Linked DNA regions of Oryctolagus cuniculus. The protein of the gene in region 3 binds, or shares a complex with, the protein of the main gene of each other region. Links are inferred from orthologs where the notes say so. Each region holds a gene or a part of one and is shown on either strand. Other genes may lie near its edges. The genes, in order: NAA38, NAA30 and NAA35.

Region 1 (5,837 bases), on a different chromosome or scaffold from region 3:
ACCATCTTGCTACCCGCTGTCACCATGCTGGGCTTCGGTTTCCTCTGCCACTCCCAGGTGAGCACGAGCCCCCGGGCGCGCGTGAGTGCGGGTGTTTAGTGTGCGGTGATGCTGTCTGCTGTCGGGGTGTGTGTTGGGGGTGGTGTCTCTGCGGGTCGCAGGTTCCGCCTGCCTGGGCTGCTCCCACCGTGTGCACGGCGTGGCCAGGGGCAGCGTGGGCCTGACGCCACTTCTCCTCCCACAGTTCCTGCGTTCCCAGGCACCCCCTTGCACCGCACACCTGCGGGACCCGGGCTTCACGGCCCTGCTGGTCACCGGATTCCTGCTCCTCGTGCCGCTGCTCGTGCTTGCCCTGGCCAGCTACCGCCGCCTCTGCCTGCGCCTCCGCCTGGCGGATTGCCTCGTGCCCTACAGCCGAGCCCTCTATCGGCGCCGGCGCGCCTCACAGCCCCGGCAGCCCCGGGCCTCGTCGGGGTCCCAGGCCGGTCCCACACCCGGGAAGGTTTGGGTCTGAGGACCCTCCACTGGAGAGCAGCCCCGGCGTCTGCGCTCCCTCCCTCTCAGCCCAAGGACCCGAAGCCCCTGGGATCTTCTGTCCTGCCCCGCCCCCACCCCGGCCTGAGCCTGGTCCTAGCCCCGCTTGGCGAAGAGCAGTCCCCTGGACCCGATGCTGGTGAAATGCTCGCATCCCAGAACACCCGCTTGCCTCCTGCTACGCACATCCGAATTCTGAACGTCTGGGCTGGACCCTGCACCGCCTCCCCCCCCCCCCCCCGCCCCAGCTCCTCTCGCTGACCACGAACAGGAGGAGCAAATCTTGTTAGTCCCCTCCTTTTCTGGTGCAGCTCCTCTAGCACTGGCCGAGCGGAGGGGAAGCAGTGACCACACATCAATAAAGCATTAATGAACTGAATGCGCTCTCCGAACAGAGGGGTGGCCCGAGGACTGTCACCCGGCCTCGTGCCCAGGAGCAGGAAATGAGTGGAGCGCCTGGGGCCGCACACGCGCGGGCCCCCAGCATCCTTATCGCACCGGCGCCTTCTTCCGGGCCAGACCCCAGAGCTCCGGCCCTGACTCCAGTCACCTCCCCAGCAGCAGAACGGTGGGGGCTCGCTCCAGGCAGCCTGCCTTTCTCCCCTTGGGGACCCGAGCCCGTTCTCTGACCCCAGCTCAGAGGAACTCCGTGCTGCCAGGCCGGGCTGGGAAACAATGGGCTTTCCGGAGCAGGATGACGCCCCCTCCCTCCGCAGTCCTGGGAGAGCAGCGTGGGCGGGAAGATGCAGGGGCCCAACCCTGGGGCCTTGCTGGTTTACAGCTCGGTCCGCTCCCCACTCCCAGCCCTGAACTTGAGGGAAGCGTTGCCACTCTTAAGGGTGAGGGCTGACAGTGCTCGGGGCTCCGGACCTCAAACCCTCTCCTCCTGCCCTGGCGCCCCCGCTACACACAGACACGGGCCACTTCGGTCATGGGTTTAATGAAGTCTGCCAAGGCGTGCGCGACTGTGGTCAGAGATACGGAGGCCCCGCCAGGCTCTCCCTCTGCACCTCAATAGAAACGATGTGGTGTCCGGGTACCATGGCCAGGCCCAGCACACGGGGCTCCCCGGCAGAGAAGGAATCTGGAAAGAAGGGTGAGAGCATCAGGGAGGCAGGCCGGGGGCGGTCCCGCCCCTCCAGTGCCACGAAAACCAGGGGCAGGGGGCGCAGCCAGGCCCTGCAGGGGGGATGCCTTGGTGGAGCTTCCGCCGCTTGGCGAGGCGGGCGTGCGTTTCCGGGCACTGACCCGACGGCTTGAGGAACTCCTGCGCAGAACCCAGGATGACATTGCAGTCGCGGTCCGTGCAAAGGAAGCAGCCGACCAGCGTCCGTCCGTCGGTCATGCGGATGCGCATAGTCTTGTTAAGCAGCGCCTCCAGCTGCTGCCGGGCGCGCGCAGCCGGCGAGTCCTCCCGCTCCCCGTCCGAGTCCTGGGCGGGGCGGGACGCGCGCTCACACCCCGCGGCCCCGGCTGCCCGCCCGCTCGCCTGCGGAACCACAGCTCCCGGCAGCCCGCGGGGCGCGCACGCGCAGCCCGGAGGCTGCCGGGAGCTGGAGTCCCCCCGCCCTCGTACCCCATCTTGCAGCCCGACAGCCCCTCGATCCCAGAACCCGAGCCCGCGCTAACCCCGGCGCTGGAGCTGCTCTGACGCCGACTGCAACAGCCGTTCTCCTCGCGTAGCAGCATGGTCGGCCCAGCTCCAGCCATTGGCCCCAGGGCCTCCTCTGGGCCCCTAAACTTCCCCGGAACCTTTCGGGTCCGGTGCTGTGAGATCTCGCGAGCGCTCTCGACCTTTTTCCTTTCGCGAGATCGCCTCTCCCCCGCCGAGTCTCCGCGGCACCTGCCGGGATCTCGCGAGCTTTCGCCCGCTTCTCCAGCGCCGCAGGCTCACAAGATATCGCGAGAGGTTTACCTCTAGCCAGCCTTTGGGAGCCACGTGACTTAGCGAGGCTGCCTTCTTTCGTGCTGGCCTTCCTCACTTTATGTTTCTGCCTCGGGAGACAGTTCGTCCTAAACATCTCGTGCAGCACAGGCCATTGAGTTTAGATGAAGTGTGTTCGCTTTCTCTCGGAACTAACTCGATTGCTCGATACAATGATCGGGACGAGTTCAGACTACGTTTCCCAGGAGCGCACGCAGCCCAAGCCCCGCCTCGGCTACGGTGGGTAATCTCAGGCTACGGTGGCCGGGAGAGGACAATGGTTTCCATGTCAGCGGACAAACGCACTCAGCTTAGCTCCTGGACCAGCGGGAGCAGGCAGTAGTTTCTGCTGACGAGCGAGGAAGCCACAAAAGGGGCCGGCGACCAGTAGGGCGAGAGCCATGCCGCGCCGGGGCCTAGTGGCCGGGCCGGAGTTCGAGTATTTCAAGCGGCGCTTTTTCACGCCCGCGGAGGTGGCCGAACATAACCAGCCCGAGGACCTCTGGGTGTCCTACCTAGGATACGTGTACGACCTCACGCCGTTGGCAGAGGAATACAAGGGTAAGGGCCCCGCGACGGGCCGGGGTGTGTGTTCTTTGCGCGAGAGGGGTGGTGTCCGGTTCTGGGGTGGCCGGCGCTGACGGCAGCTGCCCCTTCCCAGGGGACCTGCTGTTGAAACCCATCGTGGAAGCTGCGGGCCAGGACATCAGCCACTGGTTTGATCCCAAGACCAAAGACGTGAGCTGTGCTGGACCTCGGGGCTGGGAGGAGGGGCACCGGAGAGCTGGGGTGGGGAGGAAAAGCGGGGGTCCCCTGAGCCTGCGCCGCTGACCCCCCCCCCCCCCCGGCTTTGCTTTAAAGATCCGCAAGCACATAGATCCGTTGACGGGCTGCCTGAGGTACCGCACCCCGCGGGGCCGCTTTGTGCACGTTCCGCCTCAGCTGCCCCGCTCGGACTGGGCCAATGACTTCGGGAAGCCCTGGTGGCTGGGCTCACAATACGAGGTGGGACGGCTGTCTCCCAAAACCCGGAACATCCGCATCATTAACACGCTCACGTCGCAGGAGCACACGCTGGAGGTGAGAACTGGTGCCGGGGACAGTTTGGAAGGAGCTGGGGATCCCGCAGACGTTCAGGCTGTCCGTGCCCCAGAACAGCTGGGACTGTTTTCCCCCTTTACCCTGAGGTGGCTGGGGGAAGCAGGCTGCGTGGGCCCCAGGGCGGGGGCCTGTAGGGTGTCCGGCTTGTGAGGCTATGAGACGGCTTCCTTCTCGTGCCGGGACCGCATTCTCGCAGCCAGGGACGGTGGGTCTTGGAAACTCCTACACTGCTGATTTGGACGGCAGTCCAACGTTATTATTAGCCTACTCTGATGCAAGCAGGCAGAAAGTGAGGGGCTGCTGGCTTGGACCCTAAATTCAGGGCCACCTGAGAACTGTCTGCTGTCCAGACAGGTGGGCCTGTGCGCCCCCTCCTTGCATGCTTTCCTCCTGAGGCTGTGGTGCCAGGGCTGGGCTGCTTCCCTGTCTCTCCAGGTGGGGGCTCTGGAGTCAATGTGGGAAATCCTCCACCGCTACCTGCCCTATAACGTACATGCAGCCAGCTACACGTGGAAATACGAAGGGAAGAATCTGAACATGAATGATACCCTGGAGGAGAATGGGATCCGGGATGAGGAGGAGGAATTTGACTTTCTCAGCATGGATGGTTCGCTCCACATTCCTGCAATACTGCTCTACTTCAATGACGACCTCACAGAGCTGTAGGAAAGGAGATTATGCTCATGTGGACTCGACAGATCTCGAGTCTGACTTTTTCTGTGCTGAGGAAAAGAGGTGGGGAGCCTGGGCCTAGACCCCCTCACCCCTCTGTGGTCCCTGCTCTTCCGAAGTGTGAAGCTGCTCCCCAGCTCCACCACCAGGTGCTCTGAGGGAATCGGGGAGAATGCCAGACGTGAGCAGATGTTTAGGAAAGACACAGGAAGGCACGGTGTCTTGGATCAGGGAGATCCAGGAGTCCGAGCTCAGGTAGGACGTTCTGATAGAAACAGAAAGAGGAGTGCCACACAGGGACGAGGGATGGAGGACAGCTGTGGCCATCATGGAGATGGGACAGCAGTAGAGATGGGATTTACAGACAGGGACAGAAATGGCCTAGCGACCACACAGAACTGGCTTCTCTCCCTTCTGAAGAGCATCCGGCTCGCTCAGACTAGATACTGTGCTGGGGACATTATATTCCCCAATATAACTACCCCCAAAAGTGGGCATCCTACTGCTATTTTATGCATAACTCTTCTGAAACCCAGAAAGACTTAATGTCATTATGGCATGTTAGTTAGGGAGCGTCAGAGCCGGAAGGCGAATCCAAGACTTCCCAACCCCAAGTCTGAGCTCTGTTCACTGTCAAGGGACCGTCTCCATGTCTGTCTTCACGCCAGCCTCAGAGCACTCTCTGGGACACTGGCTTGTTTAGGCTTCGTGCGCACTGGGGAGCAGTTACCGTCTCCGTAAGGGAGCTCCCCAGCGGCAAAGGCGAGGCAGTGAGGACGGCCAACTACTTCCTTGTTAGCCTCAGCAAAGCGCCTCTCCTGAATTTCTCTGGGCAGAGGTGGGTACTCACGGACTCAAAAGCAAGCTGCAGTGGGGGAGAGCCTGTGCACTGGGACGCTTCGGTGAGCAGCTTCTCTGACGAAGGGCCCTGCACTTAGGCGAGGGAGACGGGGTTGACTGTGAAATGCTGACTCCCAAAAGGAGGGGCTAAGTCAGGCAGAAAGCTCTCCTGGTGGCTGAGAGAGAACCTCTACAGGGGCCACAGTCACATCTGGTTCCCTTTAACCCTGGCAGCAGCAGCAAGAACAGAAGTGCGGGTTCAAGTCCCAGCGCCGTAGTTCTGATAGAGCTTCCTGCTAATGCGCCTGGGAAGGCAGCCTAGGATGGCCCAAGTAATTTTCCCAGTTACCACCACCGCTTGTGTAAACTGCTGTACAGAGTTCCTACTTGTCCTTGCATTTCCACTTCTGCCCTTCACGCCCTGTGGTCAGTGAGCTCTTGCTTCCCCGCTTCCTGTTGTGTTTGCAATAAAGTTCTAAATCCAAAGGCCCTGCACCACTTGTCTCGCAGCACCCCTGTGGGTCCGCTGTGCCCGCACACCAGGCCTCACCAAGCGTCGTCCTGCCTCATGGCCAAAGGTGGTCGCTGCTCGCCACACTCTCCCGCTTCCCACCTGGCAGGTCCTAAATCTTTCTTCTCAGACCTTTTTTGTCGCTGTTCATTTCTTGGTGTAGGTCAAGACTGTTAGATCTCCCCTGTGCACCATGCGTTTTTCAGGGTTCTCGCTCCACTGTCAAGTGCTGTCAGTGGTTGGCTGACTGCTAGG
Region 2 (6,817 bases), on a different chromosome or scaffold from region 3:
CCTCAAGGCTTTTATGACTCTCGACTTCCTGAAAATAACAGAGATTCTGAGTGAGAAAGCCCCATACCAAGGCATGAATATGGACAGGAAAATTTGCTGCCACTCAGTCGTCCGGGGGAGTCACACGAGTCCCAGGAGGGATTGTAACAGAGGTCTTCAAAAAGTTCACGGAAAATGTGTATCATGAAAAATGGCATGAACTTCAAAACTGCATCAAAATCATCTGATCGTATAACTCCGTTTTCCATGAACTTTTTGAAGCACTCTTGTACTCCAAAGTGAATGACCGAGAGACATTTTGCTAAATGAAAATTAAGCTTAAACATTTCTTAGGAAATTGTACGGGGCCACCTGCCCAGATTTCCCTCCCTGATTTGAACAGATCGTGGCTTCTTTGGAGAACAGCCAGGTTACACCTAGAAACTGGTGTACTGACAACTATGTATTTATTTTAAAACAATATATGCACATTTGAAAATACGGCTCTGAGTTGTGCTTTCTAAAGGACATTCACGGGGTCACACTACAACATGTCTCATTTATTCCCTTCTTCCCACGGCCCCTTTGTTTAGCCCTTTCAATGAAGGGGCTGTGGCAAGTGGTGCTTTCCCGAGACAGCCACAACACTATTTGTGGTCTCACACGCTCCTTGAGAGCTTCGTCTCTCTCCATCACGAGGCAGGAGACCCTTCCCCTCCTTTCAAACCTGCATGTGACTTTGTGACCGTCTGGATAAATATAATGCACAAGAACTGGAACTGCATGATTGAAAAGCATTTTGTTGTCGTTGTTGTTTAATTTATTTGAAAGGTATAGAGATCTTCCATGTACTAGCTCACTTCCCAAATGCCTGCAGCAGTCGAGGCCAGGCCAGGCCAAAGCCAGGGGCCAAGAGCAGCATCTGGATCTCCCATGTGGATAGCAGGATCCCAAGAACTTGAGTCATTACCTGCTGCCCCCCAGCACTAGTAGGATGCTAAGATGAGAAGCAGAGCTGGGGCTGAGACCCAGGTGCTCTGGGATGAGACCCCCACAGTCAAAGCAGCATCTTAACACTGTGTCAAATGCCTGCCCCAGTACACCATGATGTCTAAGACTGGGTCCCACAAGTCTGTGAAGTACCCTTTTGTGTATATTTTCATCTTTTAACCAATGTAATTAACAGAATATTCTATAATATTTCTGAATCGTATGTTCAGTCATTCTTATATTCATAGACATGTAGGTGGTCTGGAACTAGTTTTTCTGTGTCATAAACAGGGTTGAAATTGGGGCAGGCACTATGGTATAGGTTAAGCCTACAGGTGCGGTGCAGGCATCCCATATGGGCACTGGTTCGAGTCCCAGCTGGCACACTTCTGATTCAGCTCCCAGCTAATGGCCTGGGAAAAGAGAAGATGGCCCAAGTGCTTGGACCCCTGCACCTACGTGGGAGACCTGGAGGAAGCACCTGGCTCTTGGCTTTAGATCAGCCCAGCACTGGGCCATTGTGCCCATCTGGGGAGCAAATCTCTCTCTGTCTTTCCCTCTGTCTGTAACTCTTGCCCTCAAATAAATCTTAAAAATAAATAAATAGGAGCTGGCGCTGTGGTGTAGCGGGTAAAGCTGCCACCTACAGTGCTGGCATCCTATATGGGCTCTCCACTTTCCATCCAGCTCTCTGCTATGGCCTGGGAAAGCAGTGGAAGATGGCCCAAGTCCTTGGGCCCCTGCACCTGCGTGGGAGACCAGGAAGAAGCTCCTGGATCCCAGCTTCTCATCGGCGCAGCTCTGGTCATTACAGCGAAGTGGGGAGTGAACCAGCGGATGGAGGACCTCTCTCTCTTTCTCTATCTCTGCCTCTCTTTCTCTCTCTGTGTAACTCTGACTTTCAAATAAGATAAATAAATCTTTAAAAAAATAAATGAATGTGCTCCTATATGCCTCTTTGTGCACAAATGTCGATATTTTGATAGGATACAACCCTGTAAAGGAGTTAATAAATGCATATGAGACAAGCAGAACTGTGTCTGGCGCATAGAAAACATTTCATGACTATCTCTCTAGGTGAGTCTCTCCAAGGAAGGTGAGCGTTTTCCTTTATCATCTCCAGGGACACGAACTCTAAGACTCACAACAGTCCCGCTACAGTGTATTCCGCCTGCACAGTTTAGGTTACAGCAAGAAGTTGCACACACTCTCAGAATTCTAGCCTCAAAATGTCCACCCGTGGCACGCTGGTAGCACCTGACCGGCCCTACCAGTTTTTACAAACTTACTTTGCTCTGTGCGCTAGAGGGTCAACGCTGTCGGCTTGCCTCTCGGCCCAGGCAGAGGAGTACACAGACACGGGCTGCACTTGCTTCTCTCCCTGCTGACCGCGCCAGGCCGGCCACGTGGGCGGCCGCGGCCGGACACCCCTGCACCCGGGCTGCCCACCGATCACACGTCGCGTCCCGCGTTTCGCACCGTGCTGCTGGGATCGCGCCCCGGGCACGCCTGGGCTGCCCGGCACCTGTCAGTCACACTTCACCTCCAGCTTCCCCTGGCCGGGGGAAGGCAGTGAGCAGCGGCCGAGGAAACGGGCGGCGATACCTGTTCCCGTGTCTCAGAAGGGGAAAGGCCGGGTCAACCCAATCCCCGCCGCAAGCCTCCCATTTTCACAAAGTTTCCCCAACTCCCTCTCCCCTCCCGTTTGCTGCCTGGATGCGCTCCATTTTAAACCCCTTCCCTTCCAACCGCACGGCCCCGGGTTAGGGCTAAAGTTACAAAACGCGGAGCTCAGGAAAAACATTTTTTGGGTGATTTGTAAAAGGGCCGGATCCGCAGGCCCGGGGCGGCGGGCTGAACAGCGGCCCCGCCTGGCCGCGTAGACGCACCCCAGAAACCCCGAGCAGGGATGCGGCGCGGGCGACTCCGGGGCCCACCGCGACTTCCCCGCCCCGTAACCCCACCCGCCGGCCCGCCGCCGCCGCCCTCCGAGCCCGCACGGGGACACCTTCGTCCCCGCCCCTCGCACAGGTCACCTCCCGCCCGCCCCTTTCCCTCGGCCCGGCAGCCGGCAGGCAGGGAAGTGTCGTAAAGCCAGGCCCAGGAAACTTTACCCGGGGTAACAGCCGAGGCGCTTTACGGCGGCGGCTGCTGAGTGAGAGCCTTGGCGGCGGTGGCGGCGGCCGCGGCGGCGAGGGAGGCGGCGGCGGTGGTGGCTGAGTGGCGGCGGCAGCGGCGGCGGCGGCGGGGACCGGTGCGGGGTGAGCCTCCAGGAGGGGTCGGGGAGGGGCCGCGGTGACAGCGCTGGCGTCTGGGCCCTGGCGGACAGCGGCGGCTGGGCTGCGGGGTGGCGTTGAGGGGCCCGGGGTGGGTAAGGGTGGGTGGGTTGGGGGGGAGCGGCGCGGAATTGGGGCGGCAGCGCCGTGAGGGACGGTTTCTGCCTTTGTTCCCCCCCACACACACTCGTGCCGCCCCCCCACCTGCCGTCCCCTCCGCCCGGCGTTGGGCGACAGCGTCTCATGGCCTCCGCTCTCGGTCTGTGTCGCTTCTAGGATGGCGGAGGTACCGCCTGGGCCTAGCAGCCTCCTCCCACCTCCAGCACCTCCGGCCCCGGCGGCGGCCGAGCCCCGCTGCCCCTTCCCGGCGGGGGCCGCGCTCGCCTGCTGCAGCGAGGACGAGGAAGACGACGAGGAGCCCGAAGGCGGCGGCGGCGGCGGCGGCGGTGGCGGGAGCCCGGCGGGCGGCGAGGCGGCGGCGGCGGCGGCGGCCAAGGGGCTTCCGTGCCTCCGCTGCCCTCAGCCGCCGCCGGAGCAGCAGCAGCAGCAGCAGCAGCAGCTCAACGGATTGATCAGCCCCGAACTGCGACACCTCCGGGCGGCCGCCTCGCTCAAGAGCAAGGTCCTGGGTGCAGCCGAGGCGGCCGCCGGCGGCACGGGCTCCAAAGCGACTGCAACAAAAGGAACCGGGGTGCCCTCGGGCGAGAGGCCCCCTCGCTCGCTCTCCAGGAATGCGAGAACTGCGCTCCCCAGCCGGGCCGAGGCGGCGGCCCGCAACGGACTGGCCGAGGGCGCCGAGCCGGAGCCCGAGCCGGAGCCCGAGCCGGAGCCCGAGCCGGAGGAGGAAGACGAGCAGGTGCGGCTGCTGTCTTCGGCCCTGACCGCAGGCTGCAGCTTAAGAAGCCCCTCGGGCAGGGAGGCTGAGCCCGGGGAGGATCGGACGATACGATACGTCCGATACGAATCCGAGCTCCAAATGCCCGATATCATGAGACTGATCACCAAAGATCTGTCCGAACCCTACTCCATTTATACTTATAGATATTTTATCCACAACTGGCCGCAGCTGTGCTTCTTGGTAAGTGCACGGAAGGAAACGTGGGTGCTCCCACAGCCAGGTGCAGGCGGCGCGGGGCAGGGAGTGTGCGGGCCGCGTGGACGCTCGCCCCTGCGTGTCGCGGTGGCGGACGGGATGTGCAGTGCGTGTCCACGCTTCCTAGCGAGTGCACGGAGCCGCTTCGAAGGGAAGACCTCGCCACCCGGGCTGGCCTGGGACCGATGTAGATGCGCCGCACCTGTGGGCTGCGTGGTGGTCACCGGGGGTGGGGGCGGGGGTCTCGTGTCCCGTGGACCTGAGCTCACAGTGTGTGGTCGTGGTGAACTGTCTTTAGCTGCCCTCCCTCAGCACAGGCGTTGAATTTGGTCGTGGCCCTGGTCGGGCGCAGCCCTCGGCAGGACTGAGTGTGTGCACAGGATGCTGTGCGGCCGCAGGTCCTCCAGGCCTGTGCCTGTTCCCTACCGCCACACCAGCCCGCTTCCCCGTGCCCCATCGCAGAGGTGCTAACACTCGGTTCCCGAAAGACTCCTGAAACTGGAGCGAAAATGCCCTTTTGTGAAATGCAGGAAGCTTGAGTGTGAAACTGTTACTACTCTGAGTTTTTTTTTTTTTTTAAGAAACTGGCCATAGATGGGCCTAAACACTGGTTAACCCTGGCTTGTATTGGCTCTATGTGATGAAATTCTTCTTACTTATATGAAAGTGAAAAAGACTTGATATTAGACAAGCTGAATAATACAGTGCGAGTAATTTCCTCACAGAGCTGTTGACCCAGTCTCAGTCTGTATGAAACTTAAATATTAGCTGCAGGTATATGCTTTTTACCATGTACTCACAAACATTGTTCCCCTTGAGTTTGACTAAAAAGAACGTGCTTTTAAGGAGTATTTTATGATATGTGAAGGGAAAAGTCACCACTGATGTGTTTTTTGGTTTGTTTGAACGTGGACTTAGTGTCACTTGCTGAATCCTGGCAGTGTGTTGTGACAGTACTTAAATCTTTCTGATTTCTATAGCTTCGTGGTAATTTGAAAATATAATGTGGGTATTGAAGGTAGTGATAGTTCTGCTATTTTCTGTGTTAATTTTACACAAACTTCAGTTTAATACCTTTGTTTAAACTAGGTATTATTTTATAGTCTAGAAAATTGTTAGGGTTCTAAACCTTGTATCAAAATAGAAGTTCTAAGACATGTCTGTGTCAGTGAATATAGAAGAATGATTTATAGCACTATTATAAATGTCATTAAATACCATTGTAATCGCTAAAAATTGTAGATTGATTTAATTGTGCAGCAGTCCAGCGAAAGTGTATAATTGAATCACATTTTAAATTGAAATAGATGTTTTTCCATCAATTCCAGGAAGTAGTTGCATATATAAATATATATATATGCTATTTAGTCAGTATTTGAGTCCTCATAGTATGTGGACCTTTCTCAGCTTGTCTGCTATTTTAGACTCTGATAAGCTTATTGTTAGTAAACTTTAGCCTTGATTGTATATAGAATCCTCCAAATTCATCAACTGATTTGTACCTTAGCACTTTATAGCCAAAGTTGAAAATTAAATCTTGAATGTCTAGAAGTTGAGATATGCACAAGTGGTTGACCTCTGTAAGATTTACTAGTACAAGAATGAATCTGGAGGTATTTTATTGCACAATAAAACATTAGTTAAAACGGGCCATTTAGAACTGAGGCCTTCATGTTGGCATATTTTTAATTTAAATTTCATGTGAGAACTAAGTTTTTAAATTGTGAATGTTTATTTCATATCATTTTAGAACTGAAAGGGATTCTAGTCTAGCCCAACTTTGTGGTGTTTTTTTTTTTTTCCTTGTATAAAACATTTAAGGATCAGAGTGACTCAAAATGGTTAAATTCCCAGGCAAAGCTCAAACCCTGGTCTCCTGACCTGAAAAATGGCATACCATTAACCTATGTAGTACAGATCATTGTGTGTTACCAAATTATCTTCACCAAAGGGTAGTTTCCCTTAGAAACATCTATTTCATGAGATTGGAAACCTCTAAAATGTTTCTGGTTTCCATGTGTAACGTGTAATGGGTCAAATGGAATATATGAGATTGAACTTTATGAAATTGCCAATACTTGATTGACAAAAATGACAATTCCTGTAATTCTAATTATTGCAACAGAAGTGAAAACAGAGGATGGTGGAAATGTGAGGTGCCATCTACCCTGTACCGAACCAATTTGTCTTTACCTCCTTTGGAGTCACAGCATTTTCAGGTGTTAGTGCGTTTTTGAAGTTCTTAAACTTTACTATCAGCAATGTAATACAGTACTTCCGTTCATTTGTTCTAAATTTAACTTCCCAGCTTCCTCCAGTTTTCTATTTTCAGTGTTCTATATTTGGGAATCTATTTCACACAATTTTTATTTTTCATGGTTTTGTAGGCTGGCAAGCCTTTGGTCTTGTAGAGTTAAGTCTTAATTTTGCTAGAGATTTTTCAGTTCTCATCCTTGGGAAAAAATATTTAAATAGAATG
Region 3 (6,768 bases):
TAACTGGTATTGTCAAGATTATGATAAATATTAATTTCACTTAGGTTTTAGGTTATGTTGACCCCAGTAACCATATACTCTCTTTTGATTTTATGTACTCTCTTTTGATTTCAGCAACTGTGTATAGCAACCGTGTATAGCAACCATGTATTCCCCCCTTCCCAGTTTTGCGGTTTTTGCCTTTATAAACCCTAACCTTTGGTTATTCGGGGCTGCTCTGTTCATGTATGATCAGACAGCCCCAGCATGCTGGATAATCAATAAAGCTTCCCGTTGCTGTTTGCATAAGAGATGTCTCTTGGTGACGTTTTTCGGGCAGTCGACTCTAACACTGCAAAGCTAAGTAAGACCTGTTCTCCTAGTAGAGGCAGCCTGTAGGGTTTCCCCCACCCAACAATAAACCTCCTCTACTCTGGTGTTTGGTGTGTTTCATGGTGACCTATCACTACCTACAAAGCCAGCATTCCATATGGGCACTAAATGGAAGGTTCGAGTCTCGGCTGCCGAACTTCTGATCCAGCTCCCTGTTAATGGCCTGGGAAAGCAGTGGAAATTGGCCTGAAATGCTTGGGCCCCTGTAACCATGTGGGAGACCTGGAAGAAACTCCTGGCTCCTGATCAGCCCAGCTCCAGCCACTGCAGTCATTTAGGGAGTGAACCAGAGGATGGAAGATAACTCTACTTTTAAAATAAATAAACTTTAAAAAAATTAATTCTATATCAATGTGTCAGTTACATGTTGTGCCACCTGACAGTGCAAAAGCTAACTATGGAAGAGTTAACAAGCAAGCAGTGGAAGATGGCCCATGAATGGCATGATGTTAACAACAAAATGACAAGCCACCTCCTCTCAATCCACACTACAGAAGGGATTAAACTTGATCTCCCACTCAAGGTTCCTTCCACAAAGAAACTGAGCTCATTTATGACATAACATGAAGCCAAGCAAAAGCATCTCTCCCACCAGTATTCTAATCTGCTTTCTTGGATTCAATTCTCGCTACAACACAAAAAATTAGGAGATATACATAAATGAAAACAAGAAGTGGGAATAAAGTTAGAGGGCCTCTCAAGTCACATATTTAGTTCGGCCTAAATGCCGCAGGCCCATGATCTTCAAACCGCAGTGTGTGGGACCCTGGGTGAACATCATGTCTCAGGGCACTCAGAGGCACAGGATAGCTGCCTAATGTTTTCAAATCTAACACAACGATTTGAGAGCCAAGAACCTATAGCATAAATGGACACACACAATGCAAAATGCAAACTTTTCCATAATTTCTAAGGTAAAGCAGGAAATCATAAAGCTACCTGTGCTTAGAAGGAGATGCTCTGAAGTCTCCCCCAAGACTTGGGAAGGGGAGGCTGAGGAGTGTACGCGCTCACTCTCCTGTACTGTCACGGAGAGAAACATCGCAAGGCACAACACTCCTCAGCTCCTTTCACCACCCCAACACTTACTAACTGGGTCTCATGAACTTTTCTTTATTCTCATATGTAACCCTTCTACTCCATCCTGCCACTATCTTAGACCAAAGTCCTAACATCTCCATGTAGACTAAGCGAAAAAACTTGTCTAAGGTTACAGGCCCTCTCTCAATCCATCTCAGATTATGCTGGGAGACTGTCCTTATTTTAATTTTACTGAATTAAACAAATCCTATGAGTAAGAACAACTAGCACCACCGTCCACCAAGTACTTTACATCTACTATCTCATTTAATCACTCAGACTATAAAGTAGCTCTACTTCACAGAGGAGAAAAGACTGCTTAAATAAACCATCCACAGTTACTGAGCTAATGAGTGGCAAAGGAGCTGGAATTTCAGCTCATGTCTCACTCAAAAGCTTACTATTTTCTCAGAAGTCACACTGTCCAAGTCACTGTACCAAACATGAAGGGGAATACACTTCTAATCTTACGCTCAAAACTCTTAGATTTCCAACCGTCTATAAACTGAGCTAAAACTTAAAAAAGCACTGCCGATCTACAAGTCCCAGCACTGCAAACCGCTTTGTAGCCAAGCAAAACTCTTCTCTATTCCTAAAACATGAAACTCTCATTGAACTCTGGCTCATATGGCTCATCTCAGTCTGGGGTAAGTATTTAAAGAAACCCAACCTCTCCCTCAAGACCCAACTGAAGCCATATATCTTTCGTAGAATCTCCCTTCATAATGACAGCCCTCTAATACAGGACTCTTGAATCAGGACAACATGAAAGGTCTGAACCACTTAATGGTCAAAGATCTCCAGGCACAAAACTACACCTCGTTCTTTCTCCCTCAGACACATATATAGGCAGTCACCCAATTCCCAGTCTACTGCTGTTCCCACCATCACACCAAGGCGTTTAACTGAACCTGTATTACAAGGGGCTTGTCATACACATGATTTATCACTTTGCTCACACTCAGCTGGCTCCCGTTCCACCTGCTACTGCTCCCCAGCCTTTACTTCTCTCCTTCAGAGTGCATCTCACCGTTACCAAAAAAAAAATAAACTGGGGAAAAGAAGAAGCCGTCAAGTGTGCATCCCTCCCCATCCACGTAGAACTATGAGGGTGCTTCAAAAAGCTCATGGCATTCAACAGTTTACTTTGGTGACCAAAAAAACCCGAAACCCATGCGCACGCATTTTCACAGCATGCACTCTGCCTGCCCTCTGGAAGACTCCCACAGGAGTCAGCTGTACATCAGCCCCTCCAATCTCAGGGTGTCCCTGTGCCTTTCCCCCAGCTTCATCTTCCCACCACGTCCTTGCTTCCGTCCTTCTTTTCAATTCTACGCTCTCAATGTCTTATTTGTTTCTCTCTCTTATCTTCAGTCTCTCCCTAAGGCGCCTTCCCCTCAAACATGCTCACTTGTCTCATCATTAATTCCCAGGCGTATACTGAACTATGTGCCAGGCATTGCTCTGTGGGGTAGGGTGACAGACAGGATCTCTGAACCCAGAGCTCACCATCTAGTGGATGGGGCTGACAACAAACAACAAACCCCTGAACATGAAGGCTCCTGACAAATGTGAGCACCATGAGGGAAACAAAACAGGGGTTTCCGCTGAGGTGAGGTTGGAGAAGAAAATGAGGGGGTGACTCTGCTCAGAGTGGTGTGGGGGTGACATTAAAGGGGCAGAGGAGGAGCCTGGCGCAAAGTAACTTAAGACAGAGAACACACAGTATACATAGGAACCACGCTGATGTGTCTAACACAGAGATAGGAAGGACCTCGTGACTGGAACAGGAGCCTACGGGGGCAGTGGTATGAAAAGGCAGGCTGAGCGGCAGGCCCGGCCAGGTCTTCCAGCCTGGGTGTTACTCTACCCGCAACAGGAAGACACTGCAGGGAGTTACACGTCCTGATCATTTCCAAACCTCAACTCCGCAACAATCCCACCACCTTTCAGGCCCACGTAATTAGTAGTTCCACAGTTGGGAATGATTGCTCCTACTCCGTTAACTGCCTCACCATCTGTACTGAATTTATGTCAAACACATACTGGCTTCAAAAGAAAGGTCAAATGAGAGGGTCGAGTGCAACTGTGCATAACCAGCTTGATAAACCACATTTTACCTGTTGATTTCACTTCATTTCCTGGGACACGCTGGGGAACCACGGTCATGTTCTTTTATGCTTTCCCAGACTTTGAACTTCTACTCACCCCAAAAATTCGAACTCACCTCGACAAGCTTCTTCAAAGTCCTGAGTTATGTCCACCCAGCTCGTGTTGCTCTTCTCCATCTTTTCCGGGATGCGGAGTTCCCAGCCTGAATCATCTTCATCGACAGCCGCTTTCATCACCATGACGCCTGGAAAAATTAACAGGTGTAAGAGCATGCAGCTTGCAGGGCAAGAATAGTTGCAAAAAAAAAAAAAAAGTGTGTGTAAGGGCTGGATCAAAGTCTCAGAAACTCTTTAAGCACAACTCTAAAGTCTGTAAGCGCTACTGCAAAAAAAAAAAAAAAGCAAAAAAAAATCACGTTTTATACTATGATCAACGTTCATTAATACTACTTCTGCCCACTTCCTGAGAGCCACCATTGAGTTTGCCTTGCCACACAACCCCGACCACTAGCTCCAGAGGCCCCTCCCCGCGGCCCAGGACCCCCCAACCCCACCCCCGACGACCACCACTCCAATCCAGGCACCGTTCCTGGGCCAACAGCCCCGCGGGCCGCGGCGGGACCCCGGCCCCGCTCGCCGGGCCCAGGGTGCGGGCGCACCCGAGGCGGGCACTCGTTCCGCGGCCGCCGCGCCCGGGGCAGCCCGGCCCAGCCCTACAGGGCGCCGAAGCAAGGACAAGGGCTGTCGCCGCGCCGGTCGTCGGCCCCGGGAACAGCGGGCGAGGCCAGGGCCTCGGCGGGCAGCCGGCGCCGCAAGGGTGACCTGACGTCCCCGGGGTCCGCCAGACGCCCGGTGTGGGGGGGTAGAGGGCCGCTGCTCTCCTTTACGCCCGAAACAAGGGGGTCTCAATGGCACCCCAGAGGCCGCCCATACCTCCTTCTCCCGTGGCCACCCGCGCCGCCACGCACCGTCCGGACCACGGAAATAACGACGCCCCCGTCCCCTCCCCGCTCAGCCCAGCCCGACCGGCAGCGTGCGCGCATGCGTACGCCCGGCGCGCGCGACCCCGCCCCCTCTCCCTTACTCCCGGGGACTTTGCGCTCCCCGGCCACACCCCCTTCCTCGCTTACAGCCGCGGCTCGACTGATGGCGGCCATCTTCTCTTCTCGCGGTATTAGAGCGAATCGCGAGACCGGAAGCCCGGGCCGAGTCCCTGACGGTGCCTGACGGGGGCGGAGCCTCAGCCGTCAGAGCCCGCCCCGCCCCGTCCCGCAAGGCTCCCTGGGAAATTCTTCGAAAGGTGACGCTGGGGCGGATGGAGGCGGTGAAGATGTGCTTAGACTTCGGTGCTTGCCGGCTTGAAGGAACGGCGCCGCTCGGAAGCCCCGTCGGGTCGGGCTGCGACTGTTTTCTGGGAGCGGCGCCTGCGGAGTTCCTGAGAGGAAATTAGAAATAAATTCCTTGCGGAGCCAAGCCAGCCATTTTCTTCCGGACTGCCACATGACTTAAGAAGTAATTTTTTTTTATTTTAATTTTTTAAAAGATTTATCTATTTAATTGAAAGAGTTATACGGCGAGAGTGGTCGGTTTATTTATTTATTTAAGATTTATCTATTTATTTGAAAGAGTTACACAGAGTGGTCGGTTTTTAGATGGGGTTACTGTGACGAGGTGGGCGCTGGTAGGGCGCCCACCTTGACCACCGTCTGCCGGTCAGAGTGGCCAACATGAAGACGGCAGGACAGCTGGGTCTCTCCCGCGGCTTCGGAGTGGAACAGCCACTCGGGAAAATTCCTTATTTTCCTAGAACCACATCCTTGTCACATGAATGGTAATTCCACTCCCAGGTAGTTACCTGGGAAGCAAAGCCTACATCCACACGAAGGTTTCTACATTAATGATCATAGCAGCTCTATTATTATTTTTTTAAGATTTACTTATTTATCTGAGAGGTACAGTTACAGAGAGAGGGAGAGGTCATCCATCTGCTGGTTCACTCCCCAGATGGCCGCAACGGTTGGAGCTGCATCCATCTGAAGTCAGGAACCAGGAGCTTCTTTAAGGTCTTCCACACGATGCAGAAGCCCAAGGACTTGGGCCATCTTCCACTGCTTTCCCAGGCCATAGCAGAGAGCTGGAATGGAAGAGGAGCAGCCAGGACACAAACCAGCGCCCATATGGGATGCCGGCACTGCAGGCGGTGGCCTAACCCGCTACACCACAATGCTGGCCCCCCTCATTTTTCAGTCTTATGTTTACTTGAGAATACACAGTAATAACGTTATAAAATTGTTAAAATATATTATCCTCTAAACTAATTATCCTCTGTATGTTTATATCAGCGTTTTAAATATGGTGTTTTGTTTTCTGACACATTATTTTTAGACATTTCTACTATGAATTGCTACTAATAGCCACTGTTAGCTAGTCTTACTGTTTTGTTTAAATAAAGGCATTTTTGAAACAGAAAACTACTACAAGGGCACTTTTGAAAAGTTTGAGGGAAATGGAATTTAAAGATGGTTTGGGTGCATAAATTTCATGACAAATGTGCATTACAAAAAATGCATGATTTAAAATTTTCTGCACCAAAACAAGCCTATTTTCCAAGGACTTTCAGCGTACCTGTGAACAGGTGGGCATCGTGTAGCAGATTAGGCTGTGCCCACATCCCATCTGGCAGTGCCTGGGTGGAAGTCTTGCCTGTGTTTTCAACCCGGCTTACTGCTAATGCACATCCTGGGAGGCAGCAGATGAAGGCTCAAGTGACTGGGTCCTTGCCACCCACATGGAAAACAACTTGAAGTTCTTGGTTCCTGCCTTTGGCTTGGCCCTATCTGGGTTGTTGTGGGCTTTTGGGGAGTGAACCGGAAGATGGAAGATTCATTCATTCTCTCTCTCTCTCTCTCTCTGTAACTCTGACTTTCAAATAAATAAGTAAATCAAAAAAAAATTGGGTGGAAATATGAAAATATTTATCAAAAGCATATCCTCCAGCCGGCGCCGTGGCTCACTAGGCTAATCCTCCGCCTAGCGGCGCCGGCACACCGGGTTCTAGTCCCGGTCGGGGCACCAGATTCTGTCCCGGCTGCCCCTCTTCCAGGCCAGCTCTGTGCTGTGGCCAGGGAGTGCAGGGGAGGATGGCCCAGGTGCTTGGGCCCTGCACCCCATGGGAGACCAGGAAAAGCACCTGGCTCCTGGCTCC

The links.
Region 1: the proteins of NAA35 (region 3) and NAA38 are in contact, whole or in part, in a cryo-EM structure (PDB 7MX2), measured with the Homo sapiens proteins. The link is inferred for Oryctolagus cuniculus from reciprocal best matches to the Homo sapiens genes NAA35 and NAA38. Residues at the interface, in NP_001308810.1 of Homo sapiens: Val30, Asp31, Ile32, Thr33, Phe36, Ala39, Cys40, Leu43, Leu45, Glu47, Leu48, Leu49, His50, Asp51, Phe54, Glu58, Ala59, Ala62, Ile63, Glu64, Met65, Met66, Ala72, Gly73, Met74, Gln306, Arg307, Leu309, Pro310, Pro311; in NP_001307854.1 of Homo sapiens: Ala41, Arg42, Leu45, Glu46, Leu48, Leu49, Arg61, Phe67, Leu68, Cys69, Thr70, Asp71, Arg72, Cys74, Ile77, Arg97, Val98, Leu99, Gly100, Leu101, Ala102, Met103, Val104, Pro105, His108, Ser111, Ile112, Glu113, Val114.
Region 2: the proteins of NAA35 (region 3) and NAA30 are in contact, whole or in part, in a cryo-EM structure (PDB 7MX2), measured with the Homo sapiens proteins. The link is inferred for Oryctolagus cuniculus from reciprocal best matches to the Homo sapiens genes NAA35 and NAA30. Residues at the interface, in NP_001308810.1 of Homo sapiens: Leu45, Gly46, Leu48, Leu56, Ala59, Met60, Ala62, Glu64, Lys69, Glu121, Phe313, Pro314, Arg315, Ala444, Leu510, Glu511, Leu512, Glu517, Pro605, Lys606, Phe607, Glu608, Leu609, Asp610, Val614, Arg615, His618, Arg619; in NP_001011713.2 of Homo sapiens: Glu221, Pro238, Ser240, Tyr242, Thr243, Arg245, Tyr246, His249, Asn250, Lys304, Ile324, Glu334, Asn335, Leu336, Gly337, Val339, Arg340, Asp341, Lys342, Arg343, Phe345, Arg346, Tyr347, Tyr348, Leu349, Leu359, Trp360, Leu361, Arg362.

Annotation. Positions count from the first base shown.
Region 1 is NC_091448.1:52,404,007-52,409,843, forward strand, and holds NAA38 (N-alpha-acetyltransferase 38, NatC auxiliary subunit), read right to left. Parts: upstream 2,472-5,837; 5' UTR 2,245-2,471; coding exon 2,164-2,244; intron 1,967-2,163; coding exon 1,783-1,966; intron 1,619-1,782; coding exon 1,506-1,618; 3' UTR 1,459-1,505; downstream 1-1,458. Other genes in the region: TMEM88 (transmembrane protein 88), read left to right, coding at 1-57, 245-514; CYB5D1 (cytochrome b5 domain-containing protein 1), read left to right, coding at 2,860-3,019, 3,120-3,196, 3,320-3,538, 3,995-4,225.
Region 2 is NC_091443.1:19,393,322-19,400,138, reverse strand, and holds the start of NAA30 (N-alpha-acetyltransferase 30), read left to right. Parts: upstream 1-3,099; 5' UTR 3,100-3,230; intron 3,231-3,521; 5' UTR 3,522-3,522; coding exon 3,523-4,323; intron 4,324-6,817. UniProt on the Homo sapiens protein: Catalytic subunit of the N-terminal acetyltransferase C (NatC) complex. Catalyzes acetylation of the N-terminal methionine residues of peptides beginning with Met-Leu-Ala and Met-Leu-Gly.
Region 3 is NC_091432.1:144,533,799-144,540,566, forward strand, and holds the start of NAA35 (N-alpha-acetyltransferase 35, NatC auxiliary subunit), read right to left. Parts: upstream 4,618-6,768; 5' UTR 4,497-4,617; intron 3,809-4,496; 5' UTR 3,804-3,808; coding exon 3,680-3,803; intron 1-3,679. UniProt on the Homo sapiens protein: Auxillary component of the N-terminal acetyltransferase C (NatC) complex which catalyzes acetylation of N-terminal methionine residues. N-terminal acetylation protects proteins from ubiquitination and degradation by the N-end rule pathway.